Drosophila melanogaster: one gene and its partners. The protein of the gene in region 1 purifies or fractionates together with the protein of each later gene. This does not show direct contact. Each region holds a gene or a part of one and is shown on either strand. Other genes may lie near its edges. The genes, in order: Sin1, raptor and unk.

Evidence for each region.
Region 2: the proteins of Sin1 (region 1) and raptor purify together in Drosophila melanogaster (affinity purification with mass spectrometry, with the first as the bait; one large-scale study listed by BioGRID). This does not show direct contact.
Region 3: the proteins of Sin1 (region 1) and unk purify together in Drosophila melanogaster (affinity purification with mass spectrometry; one large-scale study listed by BioGRID). This does not show direct contact.

What each region holds. Positions count from the first base shown.
Region 1 is NT_033778.4:14,410,162-14,414,440, forward strand, and holds Sin1 (SAPK-interacting protein 1), read left to right. Parts: upstream 1-1,663; 5' UTR 1,664-1,745; coding exon 1,746-3,455; 3' UTR 3,456-3,690; downstream 3,691-4,279. Other genes in the region: CG17385 (uncharacterized protein), read right to left, coding at 50-257, 564-1,123, 1,182-1,250. UniProt on the Drosophila melanogaster protein: Component of the target of rapamycin complex 2 (TORC2), which transduces signals from growth factors to pathways involved in proliferation, cytoskeletal organization and anabolic output.
Region 2 is NC_004354.4:6,087,198-6,091,891, forward strand, and holds the start of raptor (raptor), read right to left. Parts: upstream 3,005-4,694; 5' UTR 2,510-3,004; coding exon 1,075-2,509; intron 1,017-1,074; coding exon 1-1,016. Other genes in the region: Mipp2 (multiple inositol polyphosphate phosphatase 2), read right to left, coding at 3,212-3,645, 3,920-4,097.
Region 3 is NT_033777.3:23,151,830-23,159,681, forward strand, and holds unk (unkempt), read right to left. Parts: upstream 6,034-7,852; 5' UTR 6,015-6,033; coding exon 5,950-6,014; intron 5,882-5,949; coding exon 5,672-5,881; intron 4,665-5,671; coding exon 4,245-4,664; intron 4,183-4,244; coding exon 3,980-4,182; intron 3,721-3,979; coding exon 3,611-3,720; intron 3,412-3,610; coding exon 3,303-3,411; intron 3,142-3,302; coding exon 3,016-3,141; intron 2,946-3,015; coding exon 2,365-2,945; intron 2,309-2,364; coding exon 2,111-2,308; 3' UTR 263-2,110; downstream 1-262. Other genes in the region: VhaAC39-2 (vacuolar H[+] ATPase AC39 subunit 2), read right to left, coding at 6,291-6,657, 6,725-7,410. UniProt on the Drosophila melanogaster protein: Essential for late larval/early pupal development.

The DNA of each region.
Region 1 (4,279 bases):
AGTTGGGTTGTGTGTTTTCGTGGTATTTCATTTAAAATTATTGCCATTTCTAATGTGTAGTCTCAATTATGATTTCGTGCGTATCCAGATCGGGCACGGCAAACTTCATGGGCAAATAGTCGTCTGGATGCATGTGGGACATCTGGTTAACCTCCAGCTGGGCCCTTTCGTGGTCCTCATGGCACTTGGCTTCGTGCTTCTCATAGTCAGCGAAGGTATCAAAGATGGCCCGACACACCATGCATTCGAAAAAGCTTCTGAAAATGAAATGTTTTAATTCAATAATAAAATTCACAACAAGCAAATGTAGAAGGATCAAGGATAGTTTTGAGGCTAGTCAATTAATATATAAAAGTATTGATTGGGAACGTGTACACCTTCAAAAATGCATATAGTATTAATTGTTCATAAAAGGGAAATGAGCACAGTTAAGCACACTAATCAGCACCGAATCTAATCATGACCCGTCGATAATCGGTGTCGAATAGGCAACTTAAGGTAGGTCTGAACAGGTTGAACTAATCAAAGGGCACCTTGATCTTCTACAGCCGGCAAGTACTCACGGTTTCTGCTCCGACTCAAGCCGTTCCCTGGCCAGGGCGGCAGCCGCCTGGATAGAGGCGGGCACGTCCACATCGACGCCCTCCTTTATGTGCGACTGCAAGTGGCGCTTAAAGTTTGACAGCTGGGTGAAGCCCTTCTCGCAGTAATTACACTGGTAGGGCTTGGCGTTGAGGTGGCCAAGCTTGTGTTTCTTGAGGTTAACCAGCTGGGAGAAGTACCTGCCGCATCGCTGGCAGCGGAACGGCTTCTCGCCAGTGTGTGTCATCTTGTGGCGCTTCATGTTGCTCTGCTGGGTGAAGGACTTGTTGCAGAAGTTACAGGTGAATGGCCGCTCCCCGCTGTGCACCGCATAGTGGCGCTGCAGGTTCACAGCCTGGGCGAAGGCCTTCGAGCAAATGTTACACACGAAAGGCCGCACATCGTTGTGCACCTTCATGTGACGATCCAGGTTCCCCGAATTGCAGAAGCTCTTCGCGCACAGCTTGCACTCGTAGGTGGTCTTGTTGTGGTTGTGCACCTCTTGTCGATGCAACGTCTGATCCCGCTTGCTTCTGAAGGTCTGCATCAATGGATAGTGGTTAGATTGAGGTAATAGGAGACATTTCCCACACACTTACTCGGTCGCAGCGCTTGCAGCTGAACTGATTGGCCACCGTCTCGTCGAATTCTACCTCCATGCCCGCCATTTCGCCGTTGGCTAGCACATCGACTCTATCCGATTGGGAGTTCTCAAGAAGTGGACATCGAAAAACGGCAGGTCAGGCGACGATAAACTCACTATAATTAACTTATTCTGTAACTCGGCAATTTTTCGCGTCCAGAAAAAAGTCATATGGTGGCCTAGAGTGACCGTTTGCGTTGAATGAAAAAAGACCAGATTTAACGAGTACCGCTACAACTAGACTTGCATGTAAATTCAAAATATTACTTTGATAATAAGTACTTGGTATAACCTTTATCTTAATTGCATAATTTAAGTATATTCATGTAGTAGGTATTCCTCTTATGTTCTGTTGGGAACGGTGACTTGTGCGTGCTATTCGTTACCACCACCAAAAAGTGACCAGTAACAACCGCAATGTTCCATCTCTAGATAATCCAAAGGCGTTAGTGCATTTTTCCGAGATGCTGAGATAAATAGAAATTAATTTTGAAAAAGAGATTTTCTTTTGTTTACTACCATGGCGACCTACTCCAACCAGCATTGGCTGCTCTCCCACATCCGCAACTCCTTCATATCCACGGACGACACCGGAATGTGCGAGACGGTGATGCTGAGCGATGACATGCCCAAACACTATTTGCGAAAATTCGGTAACTCGGGCGCTGGAGGAGATCACTATCATTGGCGACGGGCGCACAAGACACCGCCGACGGGGGGCGGGACAACACCGGAGCGGAACACCCGGCATCCGGATGCGCCACTCCAGGAAGTGGACTTCATCTGCTATCCGGGACTGGACCTCAGCGACGACGAGGAGGACATGTCCACGCACTCCTTTGACATCCAAATGTATCCGGAGGTGGGCGCCCACCGCTTTCGCTCCAACACTGCCCAAAAACTAGAGAAACTGGATATTGCCAAGCGAAGGGCGGCGCGCATCAAGAGTGTTAACTACCAGGAGGAAGTGCAGCCACCGGAGAGCGATGATTTCTTTAAACGCAAAGAGTTGCCCCTCAGCAAAGCTGAGCGAGTTAAAAATGAACCGAAAGCCAACGACGATGATCTGTCAGATGAGGGTGTTCAGAGCCAGCTCACTGAACAGTTGGCCAAAAGTCCAAAGCAAGCACAGAATCGCTTCATTGAATTCGCCCGCTTCGATGGCACCTCCCAAGTGGGTATGCAAACGAAACGGATAAACGTGTTTTTAAATATGCTTCCCGAGCCGGATCGCAACTACCCGTTGAAGATCTGCGTCGTAGCCACTGCCAAAATCCAGGAGGTAATTGGTTTTGTCTGCTACAGGACCTCCTTACAATATCCCGACGTTCCTTTGAAGTCCCTGCAGCATTACGCTTTGTATATGACAGAGGATAATGATGATATGGAAGACTTCCCACCGTTGGACAATCGCGAACCCTGCTCTAAGTTTGGCTTCTCCCAACTGACCCTCGCAGAGCGTCGGCCATTGGCTCCAGTGACGCGAGTTGATTACCACAGCCAGCTGGGCAGTAAATCCATGACTTCCGTGGAAGACAAGACAGCTCTGTCCGATGCGGCTGTCAAGGCTCTGCAAAATATTAGCCTAAATGGAGGAACTAGTGATCCGGGTGGAGGAGGTGGAGGAGGCGATAGTCCACACGATAATGTCAAGGAGTATGAGAAGCGATTGTTGAATCACAACGATATGCTGGAAGCACCCATGCATCGTACTTTCCGCCTCAACATCATCGACAAGAGGTTCTTCAAATCCGATGTGACTCTGGGAATATCTGGTGAGAGAATAGAGATCGATCAGTGCAAGAATGCCAAGTTCTGGCCGCAGAAGAAGCCCGTATCCACTCCCATTGACTTTGTTGCTCACTGCGAGATTTTGGAGCGACGCCACCTGAAGGCTCTGTTGCGCATCTGGCTGAAGTCAAACTCCTCGTCCCCTTCCTTCTCCACGGGCTGCACTTCGGCGCCGATCAACGCCAGCGTAACCACACTGAATGCGGGAAGCGGCAGTGGTGGGATTGCCCACTCGCCCAGCAGTCCGGGTCACTCTTCCGGACTCTTTTCAAGCAGCAATATTCGCTTTAAGCACTACGACTTCGATACGGACACCCACACGGCGGAGCAGATCCACAACAAGCTGAACTGCATACTAGAGATGCGATCCAGCGATCTGAGGCGCGAGTTCCTTTTGCAGCGCGATCGGAAGCAGGAGAAGAGGCAGCTGAAGTTGTAGTATTTATTCCTATGGCAGCGGCTGTCGCTCGTTTGCCTAGCAGGCGGGCAACTGTCACTGCCGCTGCAACGTCCCCGCCTACTTCTCCGCCTCCGCCTCCGCCTCCTGTTCGATAAGTTGTATTAGTTGCTAACTAAAGATTGTGTTACACATGTTTGCCTAGCCTGTAAGTATTTATTGAACTCACCCAACTACGAAGCCTGGTCCTGAAAATAAAATTGCAAAATTTACACTTAAAATCGGTAATCTCTACATTTTTGCTTCCGCCTTGCCGCTGGCGTTTACATTGCGGTTTTGAAGCGATTCACGCGCGATTTGGCCGCGTTTTTAGCAGTATATCTGGTTTTCATTTCCGTTTTTCTCACTCTACCCACTGCAATTGTCTGTAATCAATGTGCAATTAATCGCACAGACAACCAGACGGGGACGGATCCAACGGTTAGTCGTATTACTGCACATATTGTTTTCGGTCTGGCTGTTTATTTTTAGTTTTGCAATGCCAGCGATGACTGGGTTGGGCGCCTAGGTCGCCTGCTAACAGCTGTGGAGTAGTCGAGAATAATGGCTAACTGCCGTTAGACGATCGTTGCATGCATATGCATCTGCAGCGTCGGCTAACCAAGCGATTGCAGCAGCGCGTTCTAAGGCCAAGGTTAGTGACTCGAAATCACGCCAAAATGCGCGACATTTGAGGCCGTTCGTCTGATGGCGATGATGATGCTGTTGGCGTGACCAAATCGAGGCAAATGTCAGCTTTCGATTTATGTTCAAGTGAACAAAACATTGCAACTGACGCTGCAATTCCCCGAGGAAGTGGCTGAGGT
Region 2 (4,694 bases), on another chromosome or scaffold:
ATTATTGGCCTGTTCCTCGCTACGATCCGTCACGGAGCTAATAAATGTGCCTAAGGCGAAGACGGCAGCGGCTCTCACTTCCGGTATCGAGTCCCGCAGCAGTACGTACAGCTTCTCGTGCGCCAGGTCGCGTGCTCCCGACCAACGCGCCTTCTCAAAGTTCTGCCACAGCATGCCCAGACAGATGGCTAGCCACTGGCGCAGCAGCCAACTTCCGTCGTTCAACTGCTCAAGGCAAATAGACAGTAGGGGACCTTGAAGCGCGCTCGTCTGTCCCAGCAGGAAGTTGTGCACTATGGAGGACAATACAAAGGCGGACAGTGTACGGTGCTCCTTGGAAACGGAGGTGTCCTGCAGCACGGAGAGGAAGTACTTGTATTCCTTGACCAGATCCACCTGGCAGCTGGGATCCACGGCCAGGATCTTGGCCCAAATGAACACCAAAACGGGTCGCAGTTCGCGCGTAGAACTCTGCAGCAGTTTAAGCACGTATGGAAAGATGCCCACGCCCAGGGCGAGATTAACGGCCCACGGACCAAGATCCAGAAAGCGAGCCAGCAGCTCCAAGGCCCTCAGACGGTGCACCTGCGACAGTAGGACCTGCAGCACAATGGGCAGCTGTTCCGGTGGCGTTCTCGACTCCGATTCGCTGTCCAGCCAAACCTGGAAGGCCGTGAGCTGGTGCTCGAAGAATGGCAGCTGGCGGTACGGCGCATTGTGATCGAGAATCTCCGGCAGCTGCTGTAGAGCCAAATCTACCACCAGATCCCAGGCCTTCCACATCGGATGGCGATAACAAGGCGGCAGGGCAGGCAGGGAAACTGGTGTGCAGTCGTGGCTTCGCAGAATGCGCTCGGCCAACAGGAAATTGCGGAACAAGCTGGCCACCAGCAGATCCTGGCGAAACAGGCGCTGAAAGAGCTCGCGAGGAAGTGTGTTCCATGCTATCGTGTCCGTAATGGCGGTGAAGATCCAGTTAAGCTCACCCATCATAGTGCGCCGGTCGTTGACCTTGCCTGCGATAGAATTTAATGGTTAACAGCATTCCCTGGGTGAGTAAAGGTATAACCTTACCTGGAATCTTGTCGATCAGTTCGCTCTGAATACGCGGTACCATGCCCAGCTTTTCTTGCATGGCGTACCACTTGAGCGCTATGTTAATGGGTGTTGTCAGACAGCTGGTGAAAAGATCCGCCGGCAGCTGTGCATTCATCGGAAGAATCTCGTTTGCAGCACAGGCAGCCAGGTGTATACAGTTCTTGTAACTGACCATCTGGTTGGTTAACTGCACCTGGTTGGCGGCTACGTTGGCGGCACCACCAGAGCCGCCCACTAACTGTTGGACACCACCCCTCTGCTGGGCGGCGGCCAGCGCCTTCCCTAGTTCTTCCTCGTGCTGTTTAGCGTATGGCTGAAACGAATTGATGATGATCCCGGCGTTGGAGCAGTCATACACGTAGATGGAGGGCGCTGACATCCAAGTGATAAGCTCGAATATGCTCAGGGGGATGTACTGCGTGAAGGTCTTGTTGAACACCCAGATCTCCCCGTTGGCTGTGGGCTTGGGCACTCCGTGTCCGTTGTAGTGGAAGAGTATGCGCTCCCCCTTGGCGTTCCGGCGTAGGGAGGTGCAGAGCTTCTTAACGTCATCCACGGTGGGATCGTTGCACTTCTTGTACCGGGCCCTTGGCTGCCAGCGTTCGTACTGCATCTGCAGGTTGCTTCCAATGAGTTCCATGGCCTTTGGCGGGGACACCGAGCTGGGATCTATCCAGCACTCTAGCCGTGAGCAGGGTTGGATCTTGACCACGTCCGGCGGATCCACGCCGATGTTGAGGCACAGAACCAGGGCCACACTTGCCGTCTTCATGCGCTCGCGGATGCGCCACGGCTGTCTCTCGTACATCATGGCCTGGATGCGCTCCTTGTGCCTTTTAGTCTGCAGGGAGAGCGGGCACCTGTCGTCGCGGATACGCTCGCCGAAGCATAAGCTCCGAGCGGGCGGCATGCCCAGGATCTGTATTTCCTTCAACCGCAGTTTGATAGAGTCGTCCCGGGGCCATTCCTTTCTGATAGTCCGGATTAGCTCCCTCAAAGAACCGAGGGAGGCCAGTTCCTGGCCGTTGGAGGCCTGAATGTCGGATATTTGCTCGATGTGCTTCACGATTGGTACCAGTGATTGGTCCTGCCTCATGTTGCTAATCACCTTACCCAGGTCGTTCAGAGAGTCGTCCTGAGATGGGTCCCGGCCGATGGCCACCTGGTTCCCCAAGGCGGCGGATCGACAGTGCTCGATGTGCTCCAGTTGCTCCATTATCAAGATTATCGGATCGTCCCACGGGGCGAATACATATTTCTCGTATCTCTTGCGGATTAGGACGCTCAGGACGGCCTCCTTGCTGGAGGCCACCTCTTGATCCGCGACGCTGCCGTTGCTGCTGCCGCTGCTTTCGTCGACTGCGACGCCGACTGCGGCAGCGGCGGACTTAGCGCGAACGGCACTTGTCATGTTCTGCGTGCTTTTTGTTTCTCTCGTTTCTCGCTGTATTGCTTTTTTTCTTTTTCCGTTTGCCGAGGAGAGGGTGCAGCTCAATGCGAGCGATTTCCCGGAGCGATTACGTCTCGGTCGCGGATTCAATCAGCTAAAAATCCCCCCGAGGGGACTCTAGCACATAACCCCAAACACTTTTCGCACTTTCCGCACCTCCACCACCGCCAGCGCCTCCTCAGCTCCGCTCCGCGCTTTTCTGCTTTTCTTTCCACGTTCCTCTTCTCCACGTTTTCCGCCTACGGATCGCGGACCATTTCCCGAAAACGGGTAAAAAGAACTCGGGGAAAACACGCCGCCTGGGCTGATTAGGTCGATGCCGGGACAAAATAAAAACCGTACAACTATAGCGAGCGATCTCCGACGGAAGATGGTGCGCATTAACAGGTTTATTTACTTTCGCTTGGGTTTATTTATTTATGTTTAATCGAATTATATTATACGAAAAGAATTGCGCAGAAAATAGAGCTGGAACAAAAATCGATGATTTTTTCGATTGCACGCTGGCAAGCGGTTTACAACATTGATATCGATAATAAACTAACAGCGAAATGGCCTAGCTGTAATGAATGGCGTTGCCAGATCATTACAAGCTCATTTGTAGCGCGTAATTCAAAAGTTTGTTTTGGTTACATTGACAGAAAAAACTAAAGGACTGCTCACCCGCAAAACAGGATCCTCGTGCAAAGGCGGCGGATATCGTACAGTATGGATGCGATGACGGCCGAACAAACCCGTAGCGAAGCTTTCCGCACTTTTCAGCGTTCTCTGGGTCGCAGTATACTTGAAGTAGTACCACTCCGGATTGTACAACTCCGGAAGTAGATCCGGAAATCGCCGCTGCATCCGTTCCGCCAGCTCAATCAGCTCATCCTCACCCTCGGCCACCAGTAATTTCTCATCTTCAGTGGCATTCAGATGCATCCAGTGCCATTGGCGCAGCTTTTCCAATTCAGCGGTGCAGATCGGCGGCTTCGTCTGATCCAGAATGCGTTTCTTTATCTCTGATAGTCGATTTTGCGCCTGAAGGATAACGGATTCGCTAGGATTTCTAGTTCCGTGTCGGATGATGGTCCAAATTCGCGTCGGATGGCAGCCTTGTCGGGTGAAACGGTTAAAAGAGAAAAATCAGCTGTTCCATTGCCATTTGCTAGCAGTAGGCATCGGTAATAATAAACTAGTAATAGTATAATAACAAATCTAAAGCGATTCTCTGTTTTATGATCAATAAAGAATCCATATGCTTTCATGATTATGAATTCACTGTATTAAGCGAGCGCTGTTAACTGTCACATGGCACAACACATGTTTGTATTTCTAAGCGGGTGCCTACTGTGGGTGCGTTACACAGAAAACAACAAAAATACAAACCGGCGTATTTCGGTGGCGTTTCGTCATAATTTGCGATCGCTCTGTAGGGCGTCTTTGTGGACAGTCTGCCCTCGATATCTGCGCGATTAAGGCGGCGGCACTCCCCCTCTTCAGACAACGTCACGCCCACGAAGAAGTGGAGGAGCAACAAAAACAAGCAGTAAAATTGGCTTAGCATCTTTCCGGGCGGTGGAAAAACTTGTCACGAGATTAGAAACGAGGTTTACCGAAAAACGGGGTTAAAACGTGAAAAACAGAACGAAATGCCAGCTCAAAAGAAATCTAGGAAATAATAAACACGAAAGAAAAACAAATTGACAAGTGTGCTAGTCGCGCAAGGTGGCAAGGCTATCAGCTCAGCTGGCAGCCCTAACACATGGGGCAGCCAAAAAAAACCCGTTTCCACCGCCAGTTGGCGGTATTTTTAAATAGCATCTTCGATGGCATCAGTTGTAAGTGCTTGGTTGATTACTCATTTCAGGAAGCTTTATTAACACTATTTTATAATAAATTTAGTTAGATTTGCAGGTGCCTAAATCAGCGCATTGCCACTCAACAAGTGTTCACTTCGCCCAATCGAGCTTTCTGCCTCAAAAAGCTCTGTTTTAACCGGCCCGGCAAACTAAGCGATTAAAAAATGGTTTAGTCGCACGCCAAACACGCAAAAGGAATAAGCGTTGGCAAGGGAAGCATTTTGAATATCCTGTCCAAGAATAAAACGAGAAACTTACACACAACTTAAAATTGCAATAAATAATTAACACCCCTGAATTCG
Region 3 (7,852 bases), on another chromosome or scaffold:
CATCCCATGTACATCTCGTGGAGATTCATAAAGTAAATTAGCAAATCTTTCAAACTGTGTCTCCGGTGATGAGAGTCAGTGATATTCTGAGAGAGGTATGCATTCAGTTTTCAGTTTAGTTTGGTAATACACACAATAGATTTGCGACTCAACAGCTCCATTATAAAACCAATTTTCTCATTGTTTGTTCTCGTGATTTTTAGTTTTTTTGTGTACACTTGTATCATAAACTATTAAAGCATTTATAAGTTAACACACAATTGTTTATTGTTATATTTATTAATTATTTGTATTTCTTGCTGATTTGGCTTCTACAAAACATAGTACAAACACACACAGAGATAAGAGCCTTTGCGCTGCCTTTCCTAGTTAGCTTTGTAATAATATAATTCAGTTTTTCATTTGTATATATATATTCATAGTGTTGCTTTTGTTTCAAATAAATGCCTATGTTGATTTCATATTCATATTCAATTCATTCCCAGAACAGTTTCATTTTGATTACATCTTTATCAATTCAACTCAACTAGCTAACAACACGTTTCAGTTTCATTCAACATTGTCCAATTGATTACGTTTGATAATTTTAATTCGCAGAAAAATACAATGGTTTTTGAAGACGGTTTTACATTAACTCTGGTTAACATTTTCATTAAACTCTGTTCATTTCGCTGTATCGAGTTACTTTTATTGTTTATGCTTTCAACATCACACTCATCGAATCTGCGTTCAAATTTCCCATAAATATATATCTGTTCATATTCGTTCTTGTACAATCAGCCAAATGCTGGATTTAATATGACTTAAATACTACGTTTTGACATTGACGATTCATTTTATGCTTTTACTAATTTGGAAGCGTCCAGTTGAGACTATGAAAGTAAAATGAAAATTGAAGTCATCTGCAAAGTAAGTACTTAAAGCACTATTCAAATCACAAAGTAACCTAATAGATTATATACGTAAGTTGATAATTTTGTGACTGGTTAATTGGCATTGGCTTACACGAGCTGCACCAAGGCCTAAACAAAAATCAAAGTGTTTTAATACATTCAACTTGGTTTTCAATAAGACAAAATGAAATGAACTTTCGATAAGGAAAAGCGTTGTCGCCTTTAGTTACTTCTCGTTTCAACGTCTATAATTACTTTTGTGCATTTGAAAAAGGAAAATAAAAGCTGAGTACTGACTAATATTGATTACCCGTCAGTTACATTGATTTTATGACCATTGTCTTGGCTTTTAGTTGTAGTTTGCATTCACAAGTTTGAAACACATACATAAAAAATACAGTTTGAAAATCGGCTTATATAAAATCACTGGTGGTATTTGTTTGTTTGTGGTTGTTTTCTGCTCTTCTATGCGACAATATATTGTTAAATTTGTTGGTTTCTATAAATTTGTTAATAGTCAATTGCTAAAAGTGTCTAGAAAAATTAATATATTATATATTTATATATCTTTCATTCAATTACATCTTGTAATTGTTTAGTTCTCATAATTTCTTATGTAATACTAGTGAAAAGTACAATATGACTGAAAGTGTAGCATATTTAAATACAAATATAGAGATACATATGTGGTTAAAAAAAAAATAAATGAGACATTGCAAATTCGTGCAGTAGATTAGAAAATATGTATGCCTAAACATTGAATATTAAACAAAATTAAAAGAGTTGGTTACATAAATCATAGTACAAAATCAATTTAAAATGTTTTTTCCTGTATTCGATTCGATATGAGAAAAAATAAACAAAAATAAAATTACATACTTATTCGTTTAGAGCAGCTAGCTAATTCAATTAATAGTTTGTGCCTAGTAATTACTAATATTCATGACGATAATTTGCATATTTTGAGTAGATTGAAAACATAAATTATATATTCCCTGCCACATGCACAATTAGTAGGCATGTGTCAAATCCTAACTGTTCAAAAGTTTCAACGTTTTGCTTAAGACTAAAGTTTGCTTTGTGAGTACCACATTGTCATGCTGTTCGCGGTCTTGATCCCCATGATCCATTCATATCCCATCGGAATCCCCTTTCCCATCCCTATCCGATTTTCAGCCAAAGGGCCACTTGTGGTCCTGTTGCTGATAAAACATGTTCTAGGTGTGGGTGGTTATTACCGGCACCTGACAGTAGGGACACTCGGTGACCGATTCAGCGCATGTATTGCAAATAGACAGGTGGTTGCACGGCTCCAGAGTAACCGTGCGATTGTTCTCCTCGCACTTCATGCACTTCTTGGCATTTTCTAAATATAATACTTTGTCGACCTCCTCCAAGTCGGTGCGCAGCTTGGACTAAAATGGTAGCAGGTTAAAACCCATGGAATTGGGAAATTAATTAAGCGACTAACCTGCAATTGCTTCAATTTCTGTATGGACAAGTCCCGAAGCTCTGCTGGCAAATTTAGCTGTATCTGTGCTAGGTCATAGCGCTCCTTCCACTCCTGCGCCTCCTGCTTGGCCTTGTCCCGATGGAGCTCCGCGATCTTTAGCTTGCATGCCATGTCCTCGAAACGTCCGTTCAACTTGTGAATTTGAGCATTCTTCGTGAGCAGCTCATTGGTGATGCGACCCAAGTCGCTGTTGTTTTGCGACTGCAGAGATTGAAGGCTAAACGCATTCTTGGCCGTATTGAGAGTGTTCTCGAACAGACTATTTCCCACCGAGCTGCTGTTGATGTCGTCGCGTATGGTATTCAATTCGGATATCCTTACCGAAGGACTAATCGACAAGCCATCGCCAAAGCCAGGCGATATGATGCGCGACGGAAAGAAGAGACTGCTATCGTTCTGGGTGGCCGAAAGGGAATTGCTGAGTTTGTTTGAGCCGCCATAGTTGAAGGCGTCCACGTTGAAGAGATTGGCATGGTTGGTGGGACTGTAGGTGAGCGAGCTGCTGGGAATGTTGACGGCAAAGCTACCTGAGTTAAAATCTGTGCAAATGGAATGGAGTATTAGCATTAGCAATTAGTTGGCACTCATAGGACGTTGATGACTACTTACCGTTAATTGAGTTACTTAGAGTCGTATTAGGAATGTTAATTGGCGCCGAGGAACGTGTTAATAAGCTAGTATTGGCCAGACTCGCCGACAATGAGTTCTCGCGCGGATCGTCCATTGAGCAAGCTGCTTGCAAAGAGTGAAGACAAAAAATTATTGAATTTCAGTTAGGCTAGGGGTCACGACATTTGCTATCTAAGCGCTGACATTCTTTGTCCACAACCAAAACGAAGAACTGATTTCTAGTGTATAACTTAGACGTACGCATGTCAGGACTCTGGGATACTCACAACGACTGTCCAGGGGTCGTGAGAAACTTAAAAATTTGCTGAAATTTGTTGTGTTTTCCAAAGCGTCTACCAACATTTTATTGGTGCTATTACCATCAATGTTCAACAACTAAGAGAACAAAACGAAAAGAAAAAAATCGAGGAGAGCAGGACACATGATTAAATGGCTTATCGAAAGTGTTAAGCAGTTAGTTGATGATGGTTAGCTGGATTAGAGCGGCAAACGATGTGTGGTAGTACGTTTAGGTTTAGGCGATGCAAATCGATGGCGTTATTTGGATGAGTGTTATTGCTTCGGTAATACGTACATTATCGACCCTTTGAAACGCATCCTGAGCTTTTAAATCAGGATAGGCATTGGAAATAAGCTCGTTTAGGTATACCGTGTGATCCCGCGTCTTCTCGTCAATTGAACATGCTTTATTTGGATTGGGAGTAGTTACATGGACAAGCAACACCGAGCGGCAAAGCAAACATTGATTGATGTACGTGTTTTCAAAGGATTTGAGTGATAGTTGGAAACAGATTTGCGGTTTGATGGATGAGGCGAGTAAAAGACAAACATTAAGTTAGAACTGTAATATCATAACTTGGCCCTAAACACATCCCTACAACAACTGGTTGTGGAGCACAACGCTGAGTCCTATATATTAGCTCATCGAATCCTCTATACTTACGTTCCACATGGGCAAAGGCGCAGAAGACGCTGCGCGGACAGTATCCGGCCTGCTGGACATCGTTGCACTTGGTCGACTTGTAGATCTCCGGGTGGAACTGCTGCTCGGTGCGTGTGTGGCAGTACTGGCAGTTATCGCCGGCCTCGCAGTTGCCCGGTTCTCCCCATTCCTCGCCGTGCTTGACATTGGGGCAAGGAGTGGACCTAAAACAATGGTATATCGCGGTTTAAAACTGACTTTAGGATGAATTCAGGGGAAATCTTACCTGTACTTGTATTTTCTGGGCGAGCGACGTTTGTCCTTGCTATTGTGGTACTGTGGACAAGCGTATCCTTGGCGGCACAGGCGCGGTGGGCGCTTGCAGGGCTCTGTCTTGTAATTGGCCAGCACGTAGTTGGTGTCCTGCCACTTGGGATCCTCGTTCATCAAATTGCGCTCCTTGTCCAGGGCATTCAAAGCATTAGTGCTGTCCAGTGTGCTCTCTGCGTTCTGCAGGGTCTCCAGCTCTTTGATGTCATAAACCGGTGGGCGCTGGTCCTGCATGCCGTGGGCGAAGGCGCAGTGTAGTCCATTCTTGACGCAGTATCCTCGGCTGTCGGTGTCGTGGACGCACATGCATGTCTTGTAGTAGCGCAGATGGTATCGCCTTTCGGTGTCGCCAGCAGTGCGGTGTAAGTAGGGGCATCTAAATGGGGAGAAAGGGAGTTTTAGTGACGTCAAAGCAGGCGACGAGGCTAAGTGAATGGACTGTATGATACCCATTAATTAAAAAGAACCGTAACAAAAAACAACAAAGTTGTACATTTACAGCAAAATCATCATTTTAATACATGTTTGAGGGTATTTCTTTAATAAGTAAAAGAAATTTCTCTTTCAAAACTAAAACCGCTTTCTTTCCACCTTCGTACCCTGTAAGGAGACTACAACGATAAATGGATAGAATGGAGGTCGGGGTCAGAGGTTGGACCTCGAGTCTGGGTCATAAAAACAGACATTGTTGTTGTCTCTCGCAAAGCGTAATTGCGTTTTACTTTTAGCCCGTTCTTACACTTCACAGAGCTTTTCTCCAAAGCTCGCCAGCCACAATAACTGTACATTTCGAAGCTGCCGGGGGAAAATCAAAATAAACGAAGAAGAAAACACGCAAAAGCGAAACGCAATAAAAACAATGACGCACACACTTGTAGCGATGCCCTACGTCTGTGCGTGTGTTTGTTTGTGCGTACCTGTGTGTATGCGAGCGTCTGTGCATGTATACATGCGACAAGAGAGCAACAACCACCACAAAACGGATGCTGATAAGAATTTGCTAGCCCACTAGAGCTGGAATCACTTTCACTTTTGCACGGTGGTGACCTCGCCTGCACACACATACACATGCACAGAGATACAGCAAGCAGCACGCCCACATACGCACTTACAATTTCACTTTTGGCTTTCCAGACAACGCCAGGCCCCTGCCACCGCCCCCACCACACCCCCCTGCACACAAACACACTATGGTTTTTGTTTGTAAACACGAAGACAAGAGATACACACACATCGCGAAGGAAGGAGAGCGCAAAGAGGAAACAAAAAAAATACAACGTCGTTCGCTATTGCTGTCTCATCCATCCTCCGCCACTGCAATCGTCCCGTCCAGCGTTTTCACGGGCCATCAGAAACTATGAATTTCACAACATTTCTACTCACTCGTCGCCCTCGGGACAAATCCCAGTGGTCTCGTCGTATTTGGTGCAATAGTTATCCGCACTGTAGTTGAAGGTGCCATCGCGTTTTCGCACTGGACGACGCCGACGCTGGTTTTGAAAATGCCAATTGAAACAGACGAAGGGGCGATGCTGGTTGCACTTGTGCTGTAAAAACGACTGGCACTGCTCCACGCGGAACTCCTTCAGGTAGCTGAAACGGTTGGCGGAAAGGTTGCACGTCAAATTAACCATCGTTTGCATTAGTTAGCATCTATTTACGTGTAGTGATTTGGTTTTTCCTGCTGCGAGGAAAGCAGCAGCTTGTTCGTTTCATTTGCCAACATCGTTGTTAGTGATGTGCAAAAAACATCGGTGCGTCGGGCATCCATGGCCTTAAGTCGATTGATATCGATAATTTTTGTCGGCATCGTCCATATCGATTGGTTAGCAAATACACACACCCCAGTTGATGGGTGGTTAGCCGGGACGCAAACGAAACAAATTTGGCGCCAAAATTAATGCGAAATTGTTATGCATGTGTTTTATTTATAACAACGCCTATATATTATAACACACATTTCAAAGGGAAAACATTTCGAAGAAGGAAAGCAAAAGCGTTTCTAGTCCAAGGGTATGGGAATGAAGGCGTTGATTCTGTCCGTCTGTCGCTGCGCTATGCATTCGCTAATCCAGACGATATTGCGTACCTCCAACTGTTTAAGTTTAATGAACGAGTAGAAGATCCCGAAATGGTACTGCTGCAGGAAGGTCTGCACATTCTTCTTGGCCTCCATCATGAGAAAGCGGTCCTCCAGCGTAATCATGCCGTCCGAGTCGCGCTCCAAATTGTCAAACATTTTGCCATAGCCATCGAACACATTGCAAACATCCCTTATTTTATCCGTATCATTTAAAGTGGACATGGAGGCCAAGGCTATTTTGGGCAGGTAGCCACAGGTGGGGAACATCTTTAGACGCTCCTTCGGTCTGAGTGTTGGAAGGTGGGCATTATGAGTATAATATGAAGAATTTCATAGCAACACAGATATCTTACATGATATCACTGCCAATAGCGTTCACAGCTATTGTAATGGTCCGACGATCCGCCTCGAAGGACAATAGATTGGTCATCACGTTGGCGGTATTGCCGCCCAGTTGGCTGCAATAGGCGTAGAATTTCTCCAAATAAGCACGATACAGATGGGCACGCACAATCTCCACGTCGAGGTAACGCAACGACTCCATGGGCAAATCGCGTGGCACAAACCGAGCGATGGGCGTGTCAATTAGAACGGCGTCGAAGAGCTCCGCAGAATTCGAGGCCACTTCGATGGCGCCCAGTTGATCGAATTCGCCCAGCGGATGACACATTCTTAGCAGACGCTTCATGGATCGGTGATTGTTTAGGCCAGCGACCAGAAGCGCCACATTATCGATCATGAACGGATATCGTATGAACTCCATAAAGGTGGTCAGCGGCTCCGTCGAATGACTGCGTATGTAGTAGTATTGCTGCAGCAGACGATCCCTAAGGCATCTTTCGATCACCTCAACGGACGGCGCTGATTGTTCGCCACCAAAGATGAGACCGTAATCCGTGCCCTGGATGCTGATCATTACGTCCTCGAGGGATTCACACTGGGTCAGATTTAGATAGTCCGAGTGCTTTAGCATGCCGTTCTTGAATCCGCGCGTTAGGGCCTCCAGGTAGCCATACTCCGTGTTGAATATCATCGACATTTTGACTTATTATTATTTTCGAGCTATCTATTAGTAGGAATTCACACGCCAGGCAACTTTTAAGTGAAAGCAGAAATTGATAGATGGAACATGCGGTGATAGGTATTTCTCGGATGAACTGATTCTGATATAAATACTAAGGATTCTAGATGCTAAAATAATATTTATTAAGCTACAAATATATTTATATATAATATTTAAATATTCGGTGGCGGTATCTACCGATGCACGCTAGATGGCGCTACCGATGGTGCAAGGCTGCCATTCGTTTATCCTTTTTGACAATATGGCAGCGCTCTAACGGTTTTTTAAATTTTAACTTTAAATTTGAAAAGATATTATTTGTTTGGTTTGTTCGTTTTAAAGTGCATCCAACTAGATTATTTTAGTTATAAGAAAATGCACCTAGTTAAAGCTTGCTATTTGAATTTCAGATAGCTAT